Linked DNA regions of Arabidopsis thaliana. The protein of the gene in region 4 interacts with the protein of the main gene of each other region in a biochemical or structural test. Each region holds a gene or a part of one and is shown on either strand. Other genes may lie near its edges. The genes, in order: MPK4, MPK5, MPK16 and AT2G40290.

Evidence for each region.
Region 1: of the proteins of AT2G40290 (region 4) and MPK4, one has a biochemical effect on the other in vitro, tested with the Arabidopsis thaliana proteins (one large-scale study listed by BioGRID).
Region 2: of the proteins of AT2G40290 (region 4) and MPK5, one has a biochemical effect on the other in vitro, tested with the Arabidopsis thaliana proteins (one large-scale study listed by BioGRID).
Region 3: of the proteins of AT2G40290 (region 4) and MPK16, one has a biochemical effect on the other in vitro, tested with the Arabidopsis thaliana proteins (one large-scale study listed by BioGRID).

Annotation. Positions count from the first base shown.
Region 1 is NC_003075.7:564,904-570,816, reverse strand, and holds MPK4 (MAP kinase 4), read right to left. Parts: upstream 3,901-5,913; 5' UTR 3,599-3,900; coding exon 3,426-3,598; intron 3,295-3,425; coding exon 3,165-3,294; intron 3,097-3,164; coding exon 2,959-3,096; intron 2,770-2,958; coding exon 2,437-2,769; intron 2,357-2,436; coding exon 2,173-2,356; intron 2,101-2,172; coding exon 1,928-2,100; 3' UTR 1,670-1,927; coding exon of another isoform or gene 1,253-1,669; 3' UTR 1,095-1,252; coding exon of another isoform or gene 951-1,094; 3' UTR 813-950; coding exon of another isoform or gene 741-812; 3' UTR 576-740; downstream 1-575. Other genes in the region: AT4G01390 (TRAF-like family protein), read left to right, coding at 1-88, 177-343, 427-575; AT4G01380 (plastocyanin-like domain-containing protein), read left to right, coding at 741-812, 951-1,094, 1,253-1,669; BPS3 (BPS1-like protein), read right to left, coding at 4,624-5,670. UniProt on the Arabidopsis thaliana protein: The ANPs-MKK6-MPK4 module is involved in the regulation of plant cytokinesis during meiosis and mitosis. Essential to promote the progression of cytokinesis and for cellularization (formation of the cell plate) during male-specific meiosis.
Region 2 is NC_003075.7:6,890,090-6,894,795, reverse strand, and holds MPK5 (MAP kinase 5), read right to left. Parts: upstream 2,871-4,706; 5' UTR 2,654-2,870; coding exon 2,481-2,653; intron 2,227-2,480; coding exon 2,097-2,226; intron 2,027-2,096; coding exon 1,889-2,026; intron 1,813-1,888; coding exon 1,480-1,812; intron 1,384-1,479; coding exon 1,200-1,383; intron 1,124-1,199; coding exon 951-1,123; 3' UTR 589-950; downstream 1-588. Other genes in the region: AT4G11340 (Disease resistance protein (TIR-NBS-LRR class) family), read left to right, coding at 85-157, 328-588.
Region 3 is NC_003076.8:6,344,270-6,349,832, forward strand, and holds MPK16 (mitogen-activated protein kinase 16), read right to left. Parts: upstream 3,999-5,563; 5' UTR 3,408-3,998; coding exon 3,384-3,407; intron 3,228-3,383; coding exon 2,819-3,227; intron 2,731-2,818; coding exon 2,603-2,730; intron 2,511-2,602; coding exon 2,451-2,510; intron 2,309-2,450; coding exon 2,159-2,308; intron 2,090-2,158; coding exon 1,934-2,089; intron 1,851-1,933; coding exon 1,639-1,850; intron 1,555-1,638; coding exon 1,450-1,554; intron 1,368-1,449; coding exon 1,195-1,367; intron 1,114-1,194; coding exon 827-1,113; 3' UTR 501-826; downstream 1-500. Other genes in the region: BPM1 (BTB-POZ and MATH domain 1), read left to right, coding at 1-96, 191-372.
Region 4 is NC_003071.7:16,828,263-16,833,203, forward strand, and holds AT2G40290 (Eukaryotic translation initiation factor 2 subunit 1), read right to left. Parts: upstream 2,965-4,941; 5' UTR 2,628-2,964; coding exon 2,244-2,627; intron 2,114-2,243; coding exon 2,057-2,113; intron 1,978-2,056; coding exon 1,891-1,977; intron 1,808-1,890; coding exon 1,661-1,807; coding exon of another isoform or gene 1,610-1,660; exon of another isoform or gene 1,573-1,609; coding exon 1,468-1,572; intron 1,160-1,467; coding exon 1,061-1,159; exon of another isoform or gene 1,057-1,060; intron 924-1,056; coding exon 768-923; 3' UTR 504-767; downstream 1-503. Other genes in the region: AT2G40280 (S-adenosyl-L-methionine-dependent methyltransferases superfamily protein), read right to left, coding at 1-38; FER4 (ferritin 4), read right to left, coding at 3,239-3,276, 3,412-3,475, 3,580-3,645, 3,763-3,824, 4,082-4,169, 4,255-4,315, 4,400-4,483, 4,636-4,941. UniProt on the Arabidopsis thaliana protein: Functions in the early steps of protein synthesis by forming a ternary complex with GTP and initiator tRNA. This complex binds to a 40S ribosomal subunit, followed by mRNA binding to form a 43S pre-initiation complex.

The DNA.
Region 1 (5,913 bases), on a different chromosome or scaffold from region 4:
GAGTCACTTGGATGATGACCATGTTCTCGTCCTTCAACCCTGGAAACGTTCATCAGTCTAATGAATTTGTCGTTGGAACCCGGAAATGGTTGATATTATATTCCTCCTTTTTCCCAAAAACATAACACAACTTATATATAATACTAATAAAAATGCATCACAATATATTTGATCAGGAGAATTAAAGTTCATCCAAGAGGGTCTATGGGTGAAAAAGACAAATCATTTTCTGTGTATCTATCGGCACTAGGGTTTGTCAATAATGCACCAAAGACTAAAACTTACGCGAGGTTCAAGCTGCGTGTATTGGATCAAGTTAGCAGGAATCATGTTGAGAAAACAAGTATGTGTTTATTATGTTTTGGAAAGTCTTGTGATGCATGATGGTTAAATACAGTACTAATCTTTTTCTCCTGGTACGTATAGTTTCGGGTTGGCTTGGTGCAGAACCTGATGACCGCCATGGCTTTGCGGATTTCATGCCTCTAGGGGAACTTGATGACCCTTATTTGGTGAAGGATAAGCTTTATGTGGGAGTTGACTTTGATGTCATTTCCGTCTCTAATTACTGTTAGCTATATAATCAGCAAGAAATATTTATAACGTATGAATAAAATGCTGGAGAATATATATAGTACTATTATGTAACTAAGCTACTGATGCCGTAATGACTTGTGATGTGTGTCGACGTACGTGTTGCTGGAGATGAAGATGATGTGCTTGGCGTGTATTTTCAGTTTATGGGCATAACAAGACAATCTACAAGATTTCATAAGCCCAGTTTATCAACTATAGAGACTTGGTTCTCAATCGTTATTGTTTCTTGTTAGTTTTGTTTTGCAAATAAGATCTTGTTTTTTTTTCAAGGAATCGTGAGCATTCCATTGCTTTTACTACCTATATATATGAGAAAAACGCCAAAAGAAAAGACATAATTTGTTTGCCAAAAGAAACTTGTGTTCCACGTTGGGGATTCTTTGATCTTCGAACACAATCACAACCTCAACGACGTCACTCAAGTCTCCGGCGCTTTGGAATACGAGTTCTGCGACTCTTCTTCTCCTAAAGCCGTCTACAACCCTGGACACGATATCGTAACCCTCACGGAACCAGGTTTTCACTAGTTCATCAGCTCAAACCATGCTCAATGCGCATCGGGACAGAAGCTCGACATTCTTGTCGTTCATGACTCGTCACGTCCCATTCCTCCAACACCACCGAGCAAGATCCTTCCTCCTTGAAATATCTACAGAGTTGGTGTGGCTCCAAGGGATGGAGTGTTCCGCAAGAAAGTTACTTTTATTACAGATGGAGTGAGAAGACGCAGTTTCCGATCGGAGACAGTCTTCTTTTCGAATACGACAACGAAGTCAACGACGTCTTAGAGATCAGCGGGGACCTTGAATTCATATCCTGCTACCCGATTTCTCCCGTAGCCGTGCACATGACAGGCCACGATCTCGTCACGCTCACAGAACCAGGAGTCCATTATTTCATTAGCTCTAAGACTCCAGGTCACTGTTACGCTGGGCTTAAGCTACGAGTCGTGGTCGGACCACTCACCAAAGCCGTACCTGTCCCCAATGTTCCGACGAAGAAGATAGAGTTGTCACTTATGGACCGCTTCAACAGATGGTTACGCACCTTCGGACCTCAACCCCATCATTAAGATAATTAGTGGATGTAATTAGAGTTAAGACTTCTCTGTATTTTCTTTCGACTAAAAAGTAAGGAAATTTAAATACACTCTATTGCAAAACACAGCTCAAAGGTTGTTCTTTTCTTTTTTTCCAATTTTTTAGGATGTTATTCAAATTACAGACATATTATCAAACTTATCAGAGATTTGATAACAAAAGCAGAGCAAAACAAAACATAGCATTTTGATGAGTTTCCTTTTAAGGATATATATCTCTCTCTCTTTCTCTCACACTGAGTCTTGAGGATTGAACTTGACTGTTTCACGGTATATAAGCTCCTTAATGTTCTCTTCTGTCAAAGTAGGTTGCTCGAAATCAAAATTGAACGGCCTCACACATACCGGTTCTTCGTTGATATCATGCAGCGGCGCCAAATATGGGTGGCACAACGCCTCATCAACTACACACACAAAAAACATGTTCAGAAAATAGCCGAAGAAACAGAGAAGCAGTTATATAAAATATAACTCACCTGTGATGCGTCTGCTTGGATCAAAAACAAGCATTTTCTCCAGCAAATCGACTGCACCAGCCGACATGTTTGGGAATCTAGCAGCAAAGTTCTGTCTAGGGTACTGTGGAAGCTGTCTAACGTATCTTCTTGCATTGTCACTTCTTAAGAATCCCAAGCTTGAGTCATCAGGAGATCCTATAAGCTGCTTTCCAAAGATTCATTAATACCGTGAAGAGAGACTAAGTGGTGATTCTTTGGATGAAACATACTAAACTAGATTACCTCAGTGATGAGTCTAAGCTGATGAACATAATCTTTACCGGGAAACAAGGGCTCTCGTGTCATTGTTTCACCGAGTATACAACCGACAGACCAAATATCAATTGCTGCTGTGTATTCAGAGCAATTAAGTAGCAGCTCTGGAGCTCGATACCAACGTGTAACAACATATTCAGTCATAAAGTCAGTCTCGGATTTGGTCCTCGCAAGCCCGAAATCCCCAAGCTTTAGATCACAATTTGCATTCAGGAGCAAATTGCTAGGTTTCAAATCTCGATGCAATACATTAGCTGAATGAACATATTTGAGCCCACGCAACAACTGATACAGAAAAAACTGCAAAACATAATCGAAACTAATTACTAAACACAACTTCAAAGCATAACAAACGAAATCCTTATTAGCTCTCACTTATAAAGTATCAAGCAATACTCATCAGATGCTCTAACACAATAACAGCTGCTTCTAAAGTAGAAACAGAAGATTCAGCTGCTAGATATAAGCAAGATGGAGATTGATGCATACCCGACAATGATCATCAGTTAAGGGTTGGTTAGAGCGAATAATTTGGTGGAGATCAGTGTCCATAAGCTCATAAACAATGTAAACATCATTGAAGTTCTCTCTCTGCGGTGGTTTTATTATATCCTTTACAGCAATCACCTGCACAATAAACCAATATAAGATTCACACAAAAAAAACCAGAGATGCTGATGATTAGTAACACGTACATTTTCATGATCCATATGCTTGAGAAGCTTAATCTCTCTCAAAGTCCTTTTAGCATCGATAATATTGTCAAAAGCATTACCAATCTTCTTGATAGCTACCTCCTCTCCAGTCTCTGAGTTTGTAGCAGCACTGATCAACAATTATCAACACAAGTTATTATAATAACAACAGATTCCAAAACCCTAATTCCCAAATCTAAGAACCCCAGAAGTGAACATTACATGTTTCAAAAACCCAATCTGATTAATTTTGGAACTCACCAGACAATTCCATAAGCGCCTCTACCGATAGGACGAAGAGGAGGAACATACTTTCTAGAAACTTCGAAGAGATTGCCATAGACATTATACTGAACATAGCTACCACCATGAGTAGCCACTCCTTTGCTGCTGCTTTGATCACCCGAGCTTCCGAAACAACTCTCCGCCGACATCGGAGCAAAATTCCTCACAACAACGAAAACGAAGAACCCTAGAGAAATTGAGGAATCGAGAAGATGGGTGTTGACATTTCGTTATAAAGTCTCTACCTTTACCCTTTTTTTTTTATTGAACGGTAAAGAGGAAGTCTCCTCTCGAGTCACCCGTGACCCTTAAACCGGGTTTGCGTCTTCTTCTTTGGTTTTTGTTCTTTTTCTTTGTAATGTCAATTTTCAATTTTGTTTATGGTATCGAGTTGGGTATATCCGATGATTGTGTCTCTAAGTAATTGAGGAACGGGTAAGTGTTTTTAGTCAATTGGTTAAGTTTTGTTTACTGGAGTTTGCTTCTACTAAATCGCGTTATCCCACGAAGTAGAGATTAGATATGGTTATGACTTTTGCCGAAAAAATGTAATTGATGAAGTTTGTAGAATGGAACAAGTTAATGACTTCATGTAGGAATGTTCTTGATATCATATTATAAAGTTTAAAAGAATCTAGATGACAACTTTTCTCCAATAAGAATTTAAGTACGACTTGGTATATTGGTGGTGTACAAGTCAATGGGCGGCCAAATTGTTTTTGACCATAAAACTGACCTTTGATTCCAAAACCATTAGTGAAAAAAGGTTTATGTATAAGATAAAATGACATCATTTTGATTTTTTTTAAAAAATCATGGTTAAACAACTTATATAACCATGTTGAAGTTTGGTGCATTTGTTATTATTAATAGCTAGAATATCTGGTTTGCTTTGATTGATTGATCATGTAACCATGAAAATAACACTGATTTTTTTTGGTCTAGTGATTTACAATGGGCCTCAAGCAAACCCATCACTTATCCATTATCAACTAAGATGAACTAAAGCACAATTCTGACTAACTTGAAAATGTAGTTATAGCTTAGCACCGATTGAAAAGAGAGAGTTATCAATATTTGAAGCGTTTTAAAGTCTCATTTTTATCTGCATTTGTTATTACTTAACATCAACGATACCATAATTACATGTTTCCTCTATATTCACAAACAAGTCTTAGCTCTTTTCCTCTATATTAACACTTTTAACCATCGTTGGCAATGTCACTCCTAGCTCTTCTGCGCATTTCGTCCACAGGCTCTCCAACAATGCGTCTCGGGCAGAGATCACCATCTTCGACAAGCAACGTGTTTCCTTGGAGACTAGCTCAAACCTTTCCGAAAGTTCTATCACTGACTTCTCCAATGGTTCCACTAACAAAATAGGAACCGACCCTTCTTGTACCGCTGTGTAAAGCTTCTTCACACCGGTTTCAACAGCCTCGAGATCTTTTATAACCGTGAATCCGTCTGATAAAAATGTGTTTTTGATCTCCGGGTTAATAGTGTTCTGCAGTTCCATGAAAGCTTGAACCCATGGAAGCTCCTCCATCTCCTTTGGAATGGTTAGATAGAAGAGATTCTTGGAAGAACCCGAGAACGATGCATCAAACACGCTGAATATGTATAAAGTCTTGACCTTTACACCGTATAAAACTCGTAAGAGAACTTTTCCTTCCGCAGAGTATTTCTTCTTCCCCTTCTTGGAGATATGATGATGATGATCCATCGATTCAACCAGCCTACTCAAAACCGCGCCCCAGTTTTCGATACTCGGGTTCTTGGAAACCATGTGCTGATTCCAACGCTGAAGAATATTGCCACTGTTTGTCTCCAGCTTACTAAAAGCAAACTTTAGTAATAGATTGCCATGTTCCAAATGATATATCTCTGAGGTAAAGGCGTTGCAGAGTTCCCGCTTCAAGCTAAAGTCAGAGAAGATATAAATGAAATTCTCCTCCAAATCCGATACTGGAACCTCTAAATCCTTCACGAGCGTCCTGATACTCTTGTGTGTCTCACAAAGAGACTGCATGGCTTGTATCATCCAAGAAACACTAACGATATCATTCTTATCCTTTGGTACAAGTTCTCTAATCGATACCGTCAAGTTAGTCTCGAAATTGTTCAACAGTGAGAGAAGCTTTGGCGATAATCGAGCATTGTTCTTCTTCGTAAACAGAATCTTGAACGGGTTCCGAGAGCGTGTACGTTGTTGGCTCATATCAACTGAAAACACACAGAAAGAAGAAACAAAGTTAGTAATCTGAAACAATGAGCAAACCAATAACATTGTTCTGAATCCAAAATCCGAATCAATAGATCTCAAGAATGCAAAGACAGAACAAAAACCATTACTTTAACCAAACTCGCCGAAGATTAACGAAAACTCACCTAAAGAAAGAGATTCTTCCGAAATGTTACCGCTTACTTCAATGTTACGCTACTTCAATGAAGGAGAGAAAAA
Region 2 (4,706 bases), on a different chromosome or scaffold from region 4:
GGTCATTTAACAGTAGTTTCTTCCATTTGCGACATTGTTATCATACTTATATGATTTGTTTTCTTTCTTACTTTGTTTTGGAAGCAACCAAGCAACCTTCGTAAATGAAATCGTCGAGAAGGTTAAGGCAATGCTTGACAACGTTTCCTCATCACACGTACGTAATCCTATTAAATCAAAAATTATGTAGTTCTAGAATTAGAGAAATTGAAATATTGCCAATGACAAAGAAAAAAAAAAGGTGTGTACAAAAGAACATACTGTATGTTAATTATATATATATAATTATTGTATAAATCTAGTGGCTAATCATTGTAAAATCTCTAGATTACGCCGCAACATCAAGTTTACATAAGTTTTCGGAGTCGAGAGATCCGCAACAAGTTCTCCAGCCTTCTTAGAGCCGCGTTACGAAGGAGTGGGATCAACGTCCTTCTAGATGATGAAAATATCACTCGAATAGAGTCAAGAGACGAAGTTGATAGACTTTTTTGTCGAGTTTCGAGAGTGAAGGATCGAACTAGTGTTCATTACCAAAATTTGCAAGAGCTCGACGTAGTGCTTGAAGAAACTGCTGGAGATGAATAAACACATCGAGTTTTTCCCATTTTCTACGAGTACAATCCAAGTGACATGATACAAGTCTAAACAAAGATAGCTTTTTAATTTAATTTCTTGAGTTACAAGATAACAACATGATATGTAGAAGAAACAGAACACTATCTAAGACATCCTGATAATAAGAATGGACATAACTACTAAAGATATGTCTTGGGTTACAAGGATCCTTATAGAACAATTTCTTGAGTTGCAAGACAGCTTTTTTAACTAGTGAAATAGCTTAAACAACGATCAACATGAGATGAAGGAGAAACAGAGCTTAAACACTACTAATTTGTTTTGCTCAATGTCAGAGTATAAAACTTGCTTTCCCCTTCTTAAATAATGTTTTAAATGCTCGGCAGAGGATTGAACTTCACAGATTCGAGCCACACAAGCTCCTTTATCTCTTCTTCAGTGGAAGACGGATCCTCAAAATGGAAACTGAAATGGTTGGAACAAACAGGCTCGTCGTTAAGGTCGTGAAGAGCTGACAAGTAAGGATAACACAGTGCTTCCTCAACTGCAAAACAAAGAGTATGATCAAGGATTCATCACCCATATGCCAATCTCGCTATGTACAATTTTTCTCATCATACCCGTGATACGTTTTACTGGATCAAACACGAGCATTTTCTCTAGTAGATCGATAGCTGTAGAATTCATACTAGGAAACCTAGCTGAAAAGTTTTGTCTTGGGAACTTAGGTAGCTCCTTAACATATTTTCTCGCGTTCGCGCTTCTGAGAAACTCTAGACTCGCTCCATCAGGTGATCCTATCAACTACTCAACCACATGAAACAACTCATAAACACATTGCAACACACAAATAAAAGTTTCCAACATTTGTACAGATCTTTCTAAAACAGAACATCATACCTCAGTGATAAGTTTAAGCTGATGAACGTAATCCTTCCCCGGGAAAAGCGGTTCCCTTGTCATAATCTCAGCAAATATGCAACCAACAGACCATACATCAATAGCAGATGTATACTCAGAACTATTAAGAAGCAGCTCTGGTGCTCTGTACCATCGTGTTACAACATACTCTGTCATATACTCTGTTTCTGATGTAGTCCTTGCCAAACCAAAGTCAGTAATCTTAAGATCGCAATTCGAATTCAAAAGCAAATTACTCGGCTTAAGGTCACGATGTAAAACATTTGCTGAATGAATATATTTGAGTCCTCGTAGAATCTGATACAAGAAGTACTGCAAAAGAAGAAAAAGTGAATCACTTGTGATTAAATCAACCATAGTATCAAATATAGCAGAGTAAAAACCGTACCTGACAATGATCATCATTCAAAGATTGGTTTGATCGAATAATCTGATGAAGATCAGTATCCATTAACTCAAAAACTATATAAACATCAACGAAATCTTCCTTCTTTGGTGGTCTAATGATATCTTTTATAACAACAACCTGTACAAGTCAAGACCACATTAGCTAGAAACTCTAATCGTTTACCGCGAAAATAGAGTACAAAACTTACGTTCTCGTGTTCTAAATGACGAAGTAGCTTAATCTCTCTCAATGTTCTCTTTGCATCTACTTTATTATCAAAGGCTTTACCTATCTTCTTTATCGCAATCTCTTCGTGTGTCTCCGAATCTACTGCAGCACTATAACAATAAACCAATACTCTCATGAATCATTTTGCTTATACATAAACACAAACACAAACAAATCATCAAATTCATTCAATTTAAACTATGATTTTGAAGACAGAACCTTTCTTAAATCCAAAAAAGATCAAATTTTGCAAGCAACCCTAATTCAAAAACCTATACCAATACTTAGTTCTTTATCTAATTAGGGTTACAAATACTAAGTAAGAAACAAGAATATGAAATACACAAAAGGGTAGAAGTTGTACCAGACAAAACCGTAAGCTCCTCTACCAATAGGTCGAATAGGAGGAACATACTTATTAGAAACTTCAAACAAGTTTCCATAAACATTGTATTGAAAATATCTTCCTCCATGAACAAGAACTCCTTTGATGTTAGTATCACCTAAATCTGTCGCTGATTCAATTTCCTTCGCCATTTTTTTCAAATATCGAGATAATACAGAAGAAACCCAGAAAATCAAACTTTGAATACAAGATTTTTGGAGATGAGATCGATTCGATTCGTCTCTGCAAAATTAAAATAATGATTTTGTTGAATGTTGAAAACTTTGAAAATCTAAGGAGATAGAGAGAGACGCGTCAGAGGACAACGACTCTTTTTCATTAGTTTGAATATTTTGAATAGGTCAAAACGTATCGTCACATGTCCATCAGCCACGTGTACTTTGTAATAAATACAGATGGGTAAACGTTTGGGCCTGGCCCATCTATTTAATATAGAGAGAGGTATGCTATCAGCTCTGGTCTATGTTATGAGGCCCACGTAATATGAAAGTAAGAGACCTTTTCCTTTTCACCTATCAATACACATCTCTCACTAAAGGAATTCTTCGCAACAGATACTGAGATACAATACAAGTTGGAGTTTAATCTCTCCTCTTCTACTTGATGATTCTCATCCAAAACTACATACTTTCATTCTAAGGTATGTATTCCATATAATCAATTCATACTTTGTGGTGCGAGCGTAATGGTAGACGTCATGGTAACTCTTCTGTTCCTTCGGCCAAGCTTGCAAGTATTATCGACAAGAACGTTAGAAACCGCTCCATCAGCACAATTTGGATCTCGGGAAACTCGGTTTATGAAGAGGGCCTCCACTATTGGTTCCACACCCGTATTCCATAGATTCCTTCAAATGTTATAGTCTCTTCGTTTTCAAACTTTCAACTCAAAGTCACATTCATTATACAATTTTTTTTGGTGAATATCATATTATTCACTTAATATATCAGTAACATCTTATATGTACATATAACAGTTGACATATTAAACCAATATCGAATAGAATGTTATCTTTTACTTAATATATTAATTTATACTATTCACCAAATTGTCATTAAAATTACGTTTTGAACTCTGGAATATCGCGAGTTTACCAATTTACTCATAATCTTCAACTTTTCTATATAAAAAAAAGAAAATTAATATGGATCATATTATACGAGGTTTCTTTTGATAACTTAATCTTTTGAGTCAAATTTACGCAGAACCTAAATATAATTAACTTGTGATGCTCAAACTACAACCCTTAAAATACCCTAAATTGTTCAATATTTTCCTCGTAAAATACCCCATATCTAACTCAAATCACTCGCACTTACACATCAAATATGACTAGGCCGACACAATATAATATATATCCAATAATTACATGTTATTTAATTGGTACGACAATCTCCGACAACGATACCATTACCAATACCAATCTCTTTTAGCCATATTCATGCTAAAAGTGTAGTGGCAGATCCAATTCACTTTTATTATTGATCTTCTCCACTGATTGGCTTAATTTGATGTGGCATTCAATTAGATTAATTAGATCTCCAACATTATCCATGCTTTATAACTCATGACTCACGTGACTGTTTTTTTTCCCTCAAGTTTTGTTTCGTTTATCTTCACAATATTTTTAGATATCCTAAATTGAAAACATAATAGACATGATTGTTGAATTATGTAGGTAAATCTCTCAGTTAGAAATACTGGGTTTGAGGCATGTTGGAAGAGATTTCTTTCCCAAAGGATATGAATTTAATCTGGTGTGGATCCCGCCTCTAGAAAATGTAAGGTCTTTGAGTTTGAATTTCCAGATATTCAAAAAAAATAAAAAAACAAAAAGACAACAACTCTAAGCATAATAATTTACTCAAGTTGATATGTGGTGAACTATTCAATGTGAAACGTTTGCGCTCTATTATTGGTATGCTGTATTATTAGTGTGACGGTATGACACAACGGAACTTCCAATATATATGTTGTACAATTCTAAATTGGATTTTACCGGGGGAAAATATCTTGATCAAGTACGAAATATGAGTGGCTTGAGTGTATTGTATATTTGTATGTATATGGATACTAATAAATAATCTTTGTTCCGTGGGAAAAGATTGTGTAATTTTTGGTTCATAGTAACAAGATTAAGAAATTTAAATCGGAAATTAGTAGGTTTAAATTTAACATGTTCTT
Region 3 (5,563 bases), on a different chromosome or scaffold from region 4:
CGGTTGCAACTACTTTGGCCCTAGCAGAGCAGCATCATTGTTTGCAGCTAAAAGCAGTGTGTCTCAAATTCGTGGCACTGCCAGAGAACCTGAAAGGTAAACACACAAGATCTTTCTTTTTAATCGATCTGAATCAACTCTGTTCACATGATGAGACTTGTGTCTGTTTTTTCCCTTTTGTTATGATCAGCTGTGATGCAAACAGATGGGTTTGATTATCTGAAAGAGAGTTGCCCATCTTTACTAACGGAGCTATTGCAGTATGTGGCGAGGCTAAGTGAACACTCTGTTATAGTATCTGGACATCGAAAAGAAATATTTGCCGATGGTTGTGACGCGAGTGGAAGACGAGTGAAGCCCCGGTTGCACTGAATGGGAGAGAAAGAAGAAAGATTTGTGCATTGTATAATCTCTGTTATGGATAATGGCTGATCTAATCGGATCTAGCAAGTACAATGAATCGTTTTCAACGCGTTTTCTCATAAATCAAAGATCCAATGAAATTTGGGGTTTATTGTTGGTGCATATCAGATTATTAGGTGAAACAGATTGAGTTCATGGGATATAAGAATCGTAGACAGTGTAAGTGTTACAACGTAGATAAACAAAGGTTGTTTTAAGAATACAAAACTATGAAGACAAATTACATGACAGGATCTGTAAGAACTTCTTTTATCTTCTCACGCTTCCTTCTCTCATTTCGCTCTTAAGCATGTCTTCACGTTTCGGCTCTTGATAACACAATGGATGACTCAAAGGGATACTCTTTTTAGCTCTCCCTGAGACGTGAGGTGGTAAAGCTAAAACTAGAACCATAACATCATGTTTAATACCAGCGACTCATTGCAGTATCTTGTGCTGCAGACACTTTTTGTGGTATATACTGAGTGTTTGGCTTCAATCTACTTGGACCTTCAGCAGCGGTGGCGCAATCTTCATCTCCTCTGTTGCTTTTGCAAGGTTGAGTCCTCTTTGGGTATTGAGACGCAGCAGCTGGATTTCTGACCATCCTTCTCTGTTGTTGTTCAAGAGCTTCAACGCCTGTGGCTGCGCCGCAGTTGTTATAGCGTAACACTGATCCAACTACTTTACCAGGCCTAGCTACTGCAGCACCTGCTTCATTACAACCAGATAAATGTTCAGGAGACAGAGTTATTCTGCATCATAACATTATATACAGAGAGGGTGAGAGACCTTGGATTGTTTGAGGGACGTTGATAGGAATTCTCGACATTGGCATCTGGGCATTCCTGTCTGCACCCCGAGGTCTCTCGTCTCTAATGCTACACTTGGAGAGTCCATCAGTGACTTCAGCTGAACTCTGTTGTGCCACCGGATGATTGTTATCAGAGTACAATACGCAAGCCCTGCAAAACATAAAAAGAGGCTTTGTTGAGCTGTTTCGAAAGAATCCCAAATGATCAAATTTTTAAAGGACGTAAAGCATACCTTGGTAATGATGCATGCTGTTGCCTCTCAGGGGGATTATGAGAAGTACCATTCTTGTAGTGTTCCTCGAGGTAAGCAAATTGTTTCTTGAAATGTTCCACCGCACTGCAGAATGAATAATACATTAACCATAAGAACATGGATAATACACAGGAGTATAGTATGAAGCAGGTCAGCTCAGGCCGGTACCTCGGGTACATAAAGTTAGTTGGCTCTGATCCATCCAAGTATTCTTTCAGCATCTTTGGGTGGTACTCCAGAGACTCTCTGTATATGAGCTCTCGGACGTCTTCTTTTGTGATCCTCCGCCTTTCAAACTCAAATTCCAACTTTGTGACAGGTTGAGCAGAAGGCTCTCTTTCAACCTTAGCTAAACCCTTGAAGTACACATCTGCAAGCGCCTGAGGTAACACATAAAACCATTTAGTTAGCTATAACCAAAGTTACATCATAAGGAGTGTAAAGAACGAAATGTATGAACCACCTCTTCAGCTGTAGGCCGGTCCTTGGGTTCAAAAGACAACATCTTTTCTAGAAGACGAAGAGCAAGAGGATCAGTATGTGGGAACTTATGTGAAAAAGGAATAGGCTTCTTCTTCCTCATGCTGCTCAAGTATCTTCGAGCTTTCTCGTTCCTAACCTGTTTCAGTGTAAGAAATTCAGCCAAAAAAAGAAACAATGCTTAAGCATTGTGGAAAGGAACACATACCCTTCCAATGGCTTCAGCAGATGGAGTTCCCAGCATATCCGTCATCAGATCCAATTGATGGACCACATTTTTCCCGGGGAAAAGAGGTTTCCCTGTTAAGAGTTCTGCAAAAATGCACCCGATGCTCCATATATCTATTGCCGGTGTATACTGAACAGAAGCATAGATAAAGAAAAAAAATGTTACCATAAAATTTTATAATCTGAATGAGAGAGCTATAGTGTCTACTGACTAGATTCCCTATGAAAATTTGAAACATTCGATGAAAGTATATATACAAAATCATGGTCACCTTTGAGAAAAAAGATCCACATAGTTCTGGAGCCCTGTACCATCGAGTAGCTACATAATCCTGCGATCAGAAAGCAGTAGGAATAAAAAATTGGTTTCATACCAAAAAGAGTAAACTTGTAAAGAGTAAGCATTTAAATTACTACTACTCACAGTCCAGAATATCGCAGTCGGTGTATCATTGAATGCGACTCTTGCAAGTCCAAAATCACAGATCTTGAGTTTGCAATCAGCATTTGCCAATATGTTTTTGGGTTTAAGATCCCGATGAAAGACATTAGCTGAAAGGAAGAGAAAAAAAAAGTATTTTCAGAAAGATAATCATAAACTTATACTAATCAATGAAATTTTATTGCTCGCTAGCTTAACCTGTGTGTATATACTTGAGGCCACGAAGAAGCTGATAGAGGAAAAACTGATAATGCTCAGGAGTCAAATCATCATTTGCCTTAATAACCTGATGCAAATCAGATTCCATAAGCTCGAAAACCACGTAAATGTCTCGAAACTCTCTTCTTGAAGGCGGCAACAAGATGTGTTTGATCTCAACAATGTCAGGATGGCGTAAGAGTCTAAGAAGTTTGATCTCACGAAGAATGCGAGTTGCATCCGAAACATGCTCAAAGATATCATTGATTTTCTTAATCGCAACTTTCTCTCCGGTATGTGTATCGTAAGCAGAACAGACAACTCCATAACTTCCTTTACCAATCACTTCCTCTATTCTGTATCTGCTTCCTTCACCATATTCCGTGAAGAAATCTACCTCAACTGATGACTGAATATACAGAAAAATCTATTGTCAATATCAAAAGCTTCAATACAGAGAAAGATTAGGACTAAACTAAAAGGCAGTAACAGTAAAAAGGATTGCTACAGATCCTAATCAGTTCTAATAAGCAAATCTGATACATAAGAGATTGAAAAATTGGACCTTTTTGCGGTGATCAGGCTGCATCTTCAGCTACAGGGCATTCAAAGGACGCTTACGAAGACCAAATGTAATAGCTTCTGAAACCCAAACTTAGTGAGCTTTTGAATCAAAAAAATGCAAAGACTGAGAATTTTAGTTCCAAAGGCAATGTCAAAAACAGAGAGCTCTATATCCAAATCCCGAAATCCAGAATCGATTGAAACAAATCAGAGTAGTTCCCGAGACCAAAAAAAAGGAGGCAAATTTATGGGGTGAAACAAGGAATAACCTAATCGAGATTTCTTTGCTTTTTGAAGTGAAATCAAAGAGATCAAAAGAAGGAAGCGATGGGTAATTTGAGAATCACTGAGATTGAAGAAAGACGAGGTTTTTATCTTCTTCGATCAATCTCTCTGCTTGAAATGGCTAAAAGGAAAAAGGAGAGAGTTTTTGAAAGTCGAGAGAAGCTTTTATGGTTCAGAAACCCAAAAATGATTCTTTTGAGCTAATAAAATTTCTTTACAGGATCTGAAATCTCACGAAGCAGACGAAGAGGCAAGTTTATTTGCTCACTTTTGTAGAAGAAAGTGTAGAGAGGAGAGATCTATGAGATGAAGAACAGAACAGAACAAATTATTAAAATATTATTATTATTCGTTTCTTTTATTGTGATAATTGAAAAAAGCGGATAAGTGGAGTCTGATTATCGTTGTACGAAAACTCCAATTTGCCCCCCAAGGTTTATGGGTACTTGCGACTTTTGTCTTAAATCTAGCTTTTGGATAATGTCCAAACGTCGAATATAATACAGTGTGGATATTTTTGTATAAACTATTTTAATATATGCTCTTCTTAATGAATAGATATCCGATTTATTATGGATTAGTGATGACTTATAATTATTACAATAATAAATAGTTCGTTTACTTTATAATTTTCTTTCGTGTCATAGTCGTTGTTAAAGACATATAAATGAAGTGGATTATCCTATATTTCGAATCCGATTGAAATGAGTGGTTTAAATTTTTTTTCGTATGCAGTTAATGAGTAATCTTACTTATTTTTAAGATATAGAATTTGACCGATAAGACATACTTAATTATCTAGAGACAATATTTATGAGTTATGTACAATGGTACAAGAAACTTACAAAAACTTATATATGCAATCGTCAATCTAGTATTTTATTTGAAATATGTATTTCGTATCTAATATCTTCTGTCTTTGGTGGGTTCTTTGAAATTGCTTCATAACTGTAGGTGCTTGCATGCGTAAACTTTTGCATGGTTGGAAAAATTGCATTTGCATCGATTTCAAACGTATAAATAAAGCGAAGCTTTAAATCTTCAAGTAGATGTCACTACAAGAAAACACGCCAGTTGCGAGGGAAGAAACCGTCGCTAGTCTCTCGCAAAAAGCATTTAGCGAGGGAATTGCGACGAACTCCAGTTCCTCGCAAAACGCGCGTCGTAAAATCAAATTCGTAGCAAGTTCCTCGCAAATGTTGCGAGGAACAAGTTGCCTCGCAAAACACACGCAATTTGCAAGGGAAGCAATCCGTAGCAAATTCACAGCAAATTTCGGGTCTCGCAAGTTTCTCGCTAGTTGCGACGGACGACCAGACTCGCGAAGCACACGCAATTTGCGAGGGACGTACTCGGTAGCATATTAGCTGCAACAGTAGCCTCGCTCTTTCCTCGCAAGTTGCGAGGGAATACTTCAGTAGCAAAGTAGTCGCAAATTCTTTGTCCCGCTAATGCCTCGCAAAATTTGCGATGGATTTGCGTGGCTTTTATCTGTAGTCGCAAATCCGTAGTAAAGTTTGCGATGGATTCGCGGTAAATAAGCGACTCTTTTCTGTTTTGTTTTAAGCATGATTACTGTTGAATATAGGGATTACTGTTCTACTTAACAATATTTAATGGTTATCTTAATTGGATTTTTATACTAAACTTTGAAGTTGAATACTAATTAAGAAACCTTAAACTCATATTTAAAAGCTGAAATTTTAGGTTTCAAGTACAGAAAAAGAAACTGAATACAGAATGTTAGAAGGCCAAATAATTTTACATAACAAACCAACAAAAGATTCAAGTTTTGATGAGTGAAAAAGAAACTTAATACAGAATGTTAGAAAGCCTCAGATGGAGATGACCCAGTGTTTGGGTTAGCTACAACAGCCTCAGGTTCGACAGCTTCAG
Region 4 (4,941 bases):
AGGAGTAAAACGACGACGTGTTGTACTGATATCGCCATTGGAGACGAAGATCATTAGAGATCAGTGTTACGAGACGCGTTTCAGGTAAGAGGAAGAGGAAAGTGTGAGCTGAGCTGAGCTCCAAAAGTCGCAACTTTCACATTTCGATTTTGCAGAGAGAGCTTAAGTAATTTTTAATGCGCCGACAGATTAAAAAAGGATTTGTGTCCGAAAGAATTTTTCTTTTCTGATTAGTAGTATAAGACAAGATGTTTGATCTTGTAATAAATCATTTTAATTATGAATCAATTGCAAGTTAACCATTTATGTATCAGACAGAGGATTTTTAAGAATTTCATTTTTGGTAAATTTTCTCAATAGAAGATCGCAGTAGTAATTGATGAATATCTGCATCTTCGGAGACATCAGATCTGAATTAAATCTACACACCTATCATTGCCAGATCCAATCAACCTACTTTCCTGAGGTTTAAACTCAAAAGTATGATCATATTGAGCCAAAGTTTTCCTAAGATAATAATGAGTCATGTGGTGGAGCAACATATTCTTGAGCAGTAGTAACATATGCAAAGAATCAAATCTTTTATAAAACCATGAATGTATGATTGATATGTAACCACCCCCTATGGGTAAAATAAAATGCCTCAGAGTCATCAAAAAGCACATAAATCCTCTCGGAGGTTTTTCTACTGCCTTGTCAAAGCTTAAACCAAAATACTGGGACTGTTGAGATTGGGTAGATTTAATAGAAAGAAAAATCCGGCAATCTTACTCGATGATTCCGGCACCTGCATCGAGATCCACTTCGCCCATACCAGTGTCCTCTTCTTCGTCTCCGCTATCTTCATCGCCGCTCATTTCTTCATTGTCAAGACGTAGCTTAGCCATGTGTTCTGTCAGCATCTTTTCATCACGTTCACTCACCTATATTTGACATAGATTATAAACATTAATAGGCGGTTGTGAACCAAATTAAACAAAACACAAAAGAAAAGCTCGTTCTTGTGACATGCAACTCGAGACGGTTCATCACTTAAAAAAAACTAATTTAAGATACTCACAGCTCTAGCCCCCTCCTTAACGACAAGCTTGCCTTTGTGTGTCTCAATTGTCTCAGTGCATGCTGCTATGGCTTTGTTTAGAATTTCAATCCCTTGTTCCTGTTTAATATTTGAGAAATTGAGAAGATAAAATGGGACAAAACATAGCATTTACACATTTATGGTTTAAGTGAAGACAAATCCGCAGAGCTACATAATTGGCAAACAAAGTTGCAATGTCCAGTGTTTTCTTAAGCATTTACTTTCCTTGCAACTACAGTGTTTTCAAAATTCTGGCAAGTAGCTTTAGTGGATATACAATCTAAACAGAGATCATAAACCTCTTAAAGATAAGTAGGGGAGGATTTCTATAATATACCAATTACCAAACCAAGTAAATCATAGTGCAAGATAGAAGATTGCCTAACCTTGTCAAGTGTCTGAGTAGTAAGGACATACAGAGGTGGAGCAACCAATTTAATCTTAACAGGACAGTCTTCATTTCCAGCGGCTTCAGCATTTTTCATAGCCTCCTGAAATTACAAGCATGGGTGAGAAAATCAAATGAAATCATAATGTATTCATTTCACAAGTTAAAGATAATCTAATAAGAGATACGACCTTAATGTGAACAACTCCATCAAACTGAAAACACTTCAATTCGATATCAGCCCGGATTTTCATTGGTTGTGGTGTCATTCTCCTCCTAATGTTCTTCACAAGTGCATCTTTCACTTCTTCCGTAACAGCAGGTACAACCTTAGTCACCTACAAACAGAAAACTTGTAAGATTAGCACCAAATAAAGTTAGTACTAACCGCTAAAACAATGCCAGAGAACAAAGTATATACCTCTTGCCCATCAGGCCCAACTTCTTTGATCTCACGGGTGAGAGGACCCAACACTGAATCAGGATCCGTCACTAAGATCTTGAAAGCCTGAACAAAAGAAAATTATATATGAGAACTAAATAACCATAGAGATACACAATGAATCTCCAATTCACAAAATTCTTACCTCAAAAGCATGACCATGTCGTCGATACAAAGGCCAACCAATGTTCACATACAAGTCCTGCAACATGAAAGCTCAAATCAATTTCTATTCAACGATCACATCACTAAGCTATGATATTTGATAATATCTCTAACAAGCAAAATCCAAATCCAGTAGATAATCCCAGATTTGAACTACGATATTTTACCTCCAAATCAATTGAAAGAGTCTCAGCAACATGGCGCATGATAGAATGAACAAGTTTGCTCTTGTTATACCTCTCTTCACAAGTCTGAATATCTTCCTCGCTGACTCTACGTTTGCTCAGATCAATGTAACCTTTCTCTTTGTCAACACGGAGAACCATGACAGGCTCAATTCTTCCGACCTTAATCAAACTGCTAACACTTCGGATCCGACGACGAGAGAGCTCGGAGAAAAGGATCATGCCTTCGATGTTGTTGTACTCGAGGAGAGAAACATAAGCTCCCATATCGGCAATGTTCTTCACCTGGATCATCACCGCCATATCCACCTCTGGGTATTTCGCCTCGTACATCCGACACTCGAGATTCGGTGTTTGACTCGCCATGATTGGTAGATTTCGATACTGCTTGAGCTCACGCGAATTCACTCTTCGTTGAATCGGGTAAAGCTACGAGGCGGAGACACTTAGGGTTTTAGACTTTTTAGGCGACGGAGCAAATCAGACAGGTTTCTAGAGATAAGAAATGAGCAAGGAACACAAACGGAAAATGAGTCGACTTGCGTCAAAGATGCCAAGTTAAACGGCACCGTGTCAGTTAAACAATTAGGTTTTAATTGGGCCACAAGATAGTTTCAAGGGGTTAGGGGTTAAAAGCCTATTCGGGTTTCAGACATTTTCGGCCCAACTTCTTTCACAACGTAAGTTTGGATTGATTTCCTTTGCTTATTCATGAATTGCGTTTAAACCGGAGCAAACTAAACTAGAGCTCGAATCCACATTTGGCAGTCCAAAAACATTCTGACCGAACCGATGTAGAATCGATCACCAGGTGGGTTTGATGAACCTTATACCAGAATATAAAGTTATGTGATCATGTCTTTTGTCTCTTACAGAAAAAGAAGTCTACTACCTCACAAAATCGTAAAAGCTAAAGAACTAAACATAAAGTAGACACATATAGAAACACAGTAGACACAAGAGTCCCTCGAAGCTGCTTACCCTTCCAGAAGCATCTGATTGAAATGCCATGTTCCTGAAATTACCCACAAGCATTCAAAGACATATATTAAAACCAAGTTTGAGGCACGACGTAGGATGAATAAGTGGATTTTCTTGTTCTTTTATAAATTTATAGATTAGAACAAAATGTGAGAGATTATTTATGTACCGTGTCCTTTGCCAACTCGTCGCAGTTGAGCCACATATTCTGAGATCAACTTGATTGCTTCCACCTGAGAAATGTTTTATTTTATCAAAAATTCCTATTAGATTCTCTTTGATAGCTTATATACAACAGTAGCTCTTTGCCACTAACATAGAACACCAAATAAATTACCTGCTCTGTCAGAAACTCGCTCTCAATAAAATCTGCCAAGTGGACATCATTGTTCTTCGAAGCAACCTGTTGAAGCAAAGCATTACCAAACTGAGAACAGTTCTTGCCGAGTGAAGATTAGATTTACTTCTCAAATACGGATTTGACATATATAGTATGAACTCAAGAAGAGATGGTCTTTACACTGTGAAGGTTTAAGAGCTTCTCATTAACTAGTTTCTCCAGTGACAGAGCAAGCTCCATGCCTGCAACAACAAATCACAGAATTGTATGTTAAAATTCCTATATCCATTGAGACTTGAATCTCCATATGAGAGATACATTTTCATAATACTTAAGAACTCAGATAAAATTCAGTCTTTGCTAGTGAAAATATGCAATCTCTTCAAAAGCTTAACAAAATCATTGGTGTCAATATCTAATTTCTTAGAATGTGGCAGACATATGAAACTAAAGAAGTTTTTTCACTTGGGATTATTAGTGTTAGCATTTTTGAGCTTACCATAAAGAGCATCTCCTTTGTCAACATGTTCAAACTCTGAAAGAGGCATTACAATGGACTGTAACTTAACCCTCCCACCACGTTTGTTCTGCAATTCATGGAAAAAAACTAAAACATGTTAGAACCAAATTAGCTCCAATAAGGTAAACAAATGGAAATAACTTTCATAAGACCTGATACTCCATTAACTTCTCAGCATGCTCTCTTTCTTCCAAACTTGATTCCTTAAAGAACCTGATTCCATGAAACCAACAATTAACTATGGATAAACAAAAAAAATCCGAAAATATCAACACTCTTGAATAACCGGAGACTCACTTGGCAAGACCTTTGAGCGCGATGTTATCCCGATCAAAGTAAGCATACATAGCGTGATACACATACGAGACATTGTATTCCACACTGCAACCAAAATCCATTGAAGAATTTCAAATTCACAGGTTCATAAACAATAAGCAGAATCAACATGAGGTTCCAAGTTACCAAATCTTATAGCCAATCAACCAGATTATAATACCGAATCTAAGAGACTGGGGTGAGAAAGAATAACCTACTTGATCTGCTCGTTAATGGCGGCTTCGCACTCGTCTGAGTACTTTTGTCGAGCGAGTGAGAGATGAGAGCTGGTAGGGACGAGATCGAGCTCCTTTTTTACTTCCTTAAACGGCTCGAAGACAACGCCGCTTAGCGCGTCGGTGGTTGAGCTTTTAGATGCGCGAAAAGAGAAAGTTAAGTTTCCAGATTTTCCAGAAGAAACTCGAAGATTCGATGAAATGGAAGGTAACAAAGGAGACACATCCTTCTTCACGCCATGGAAATTCACCAGCGAGAGAGCTGAAGAAGAAGATGAAGAAACAGTC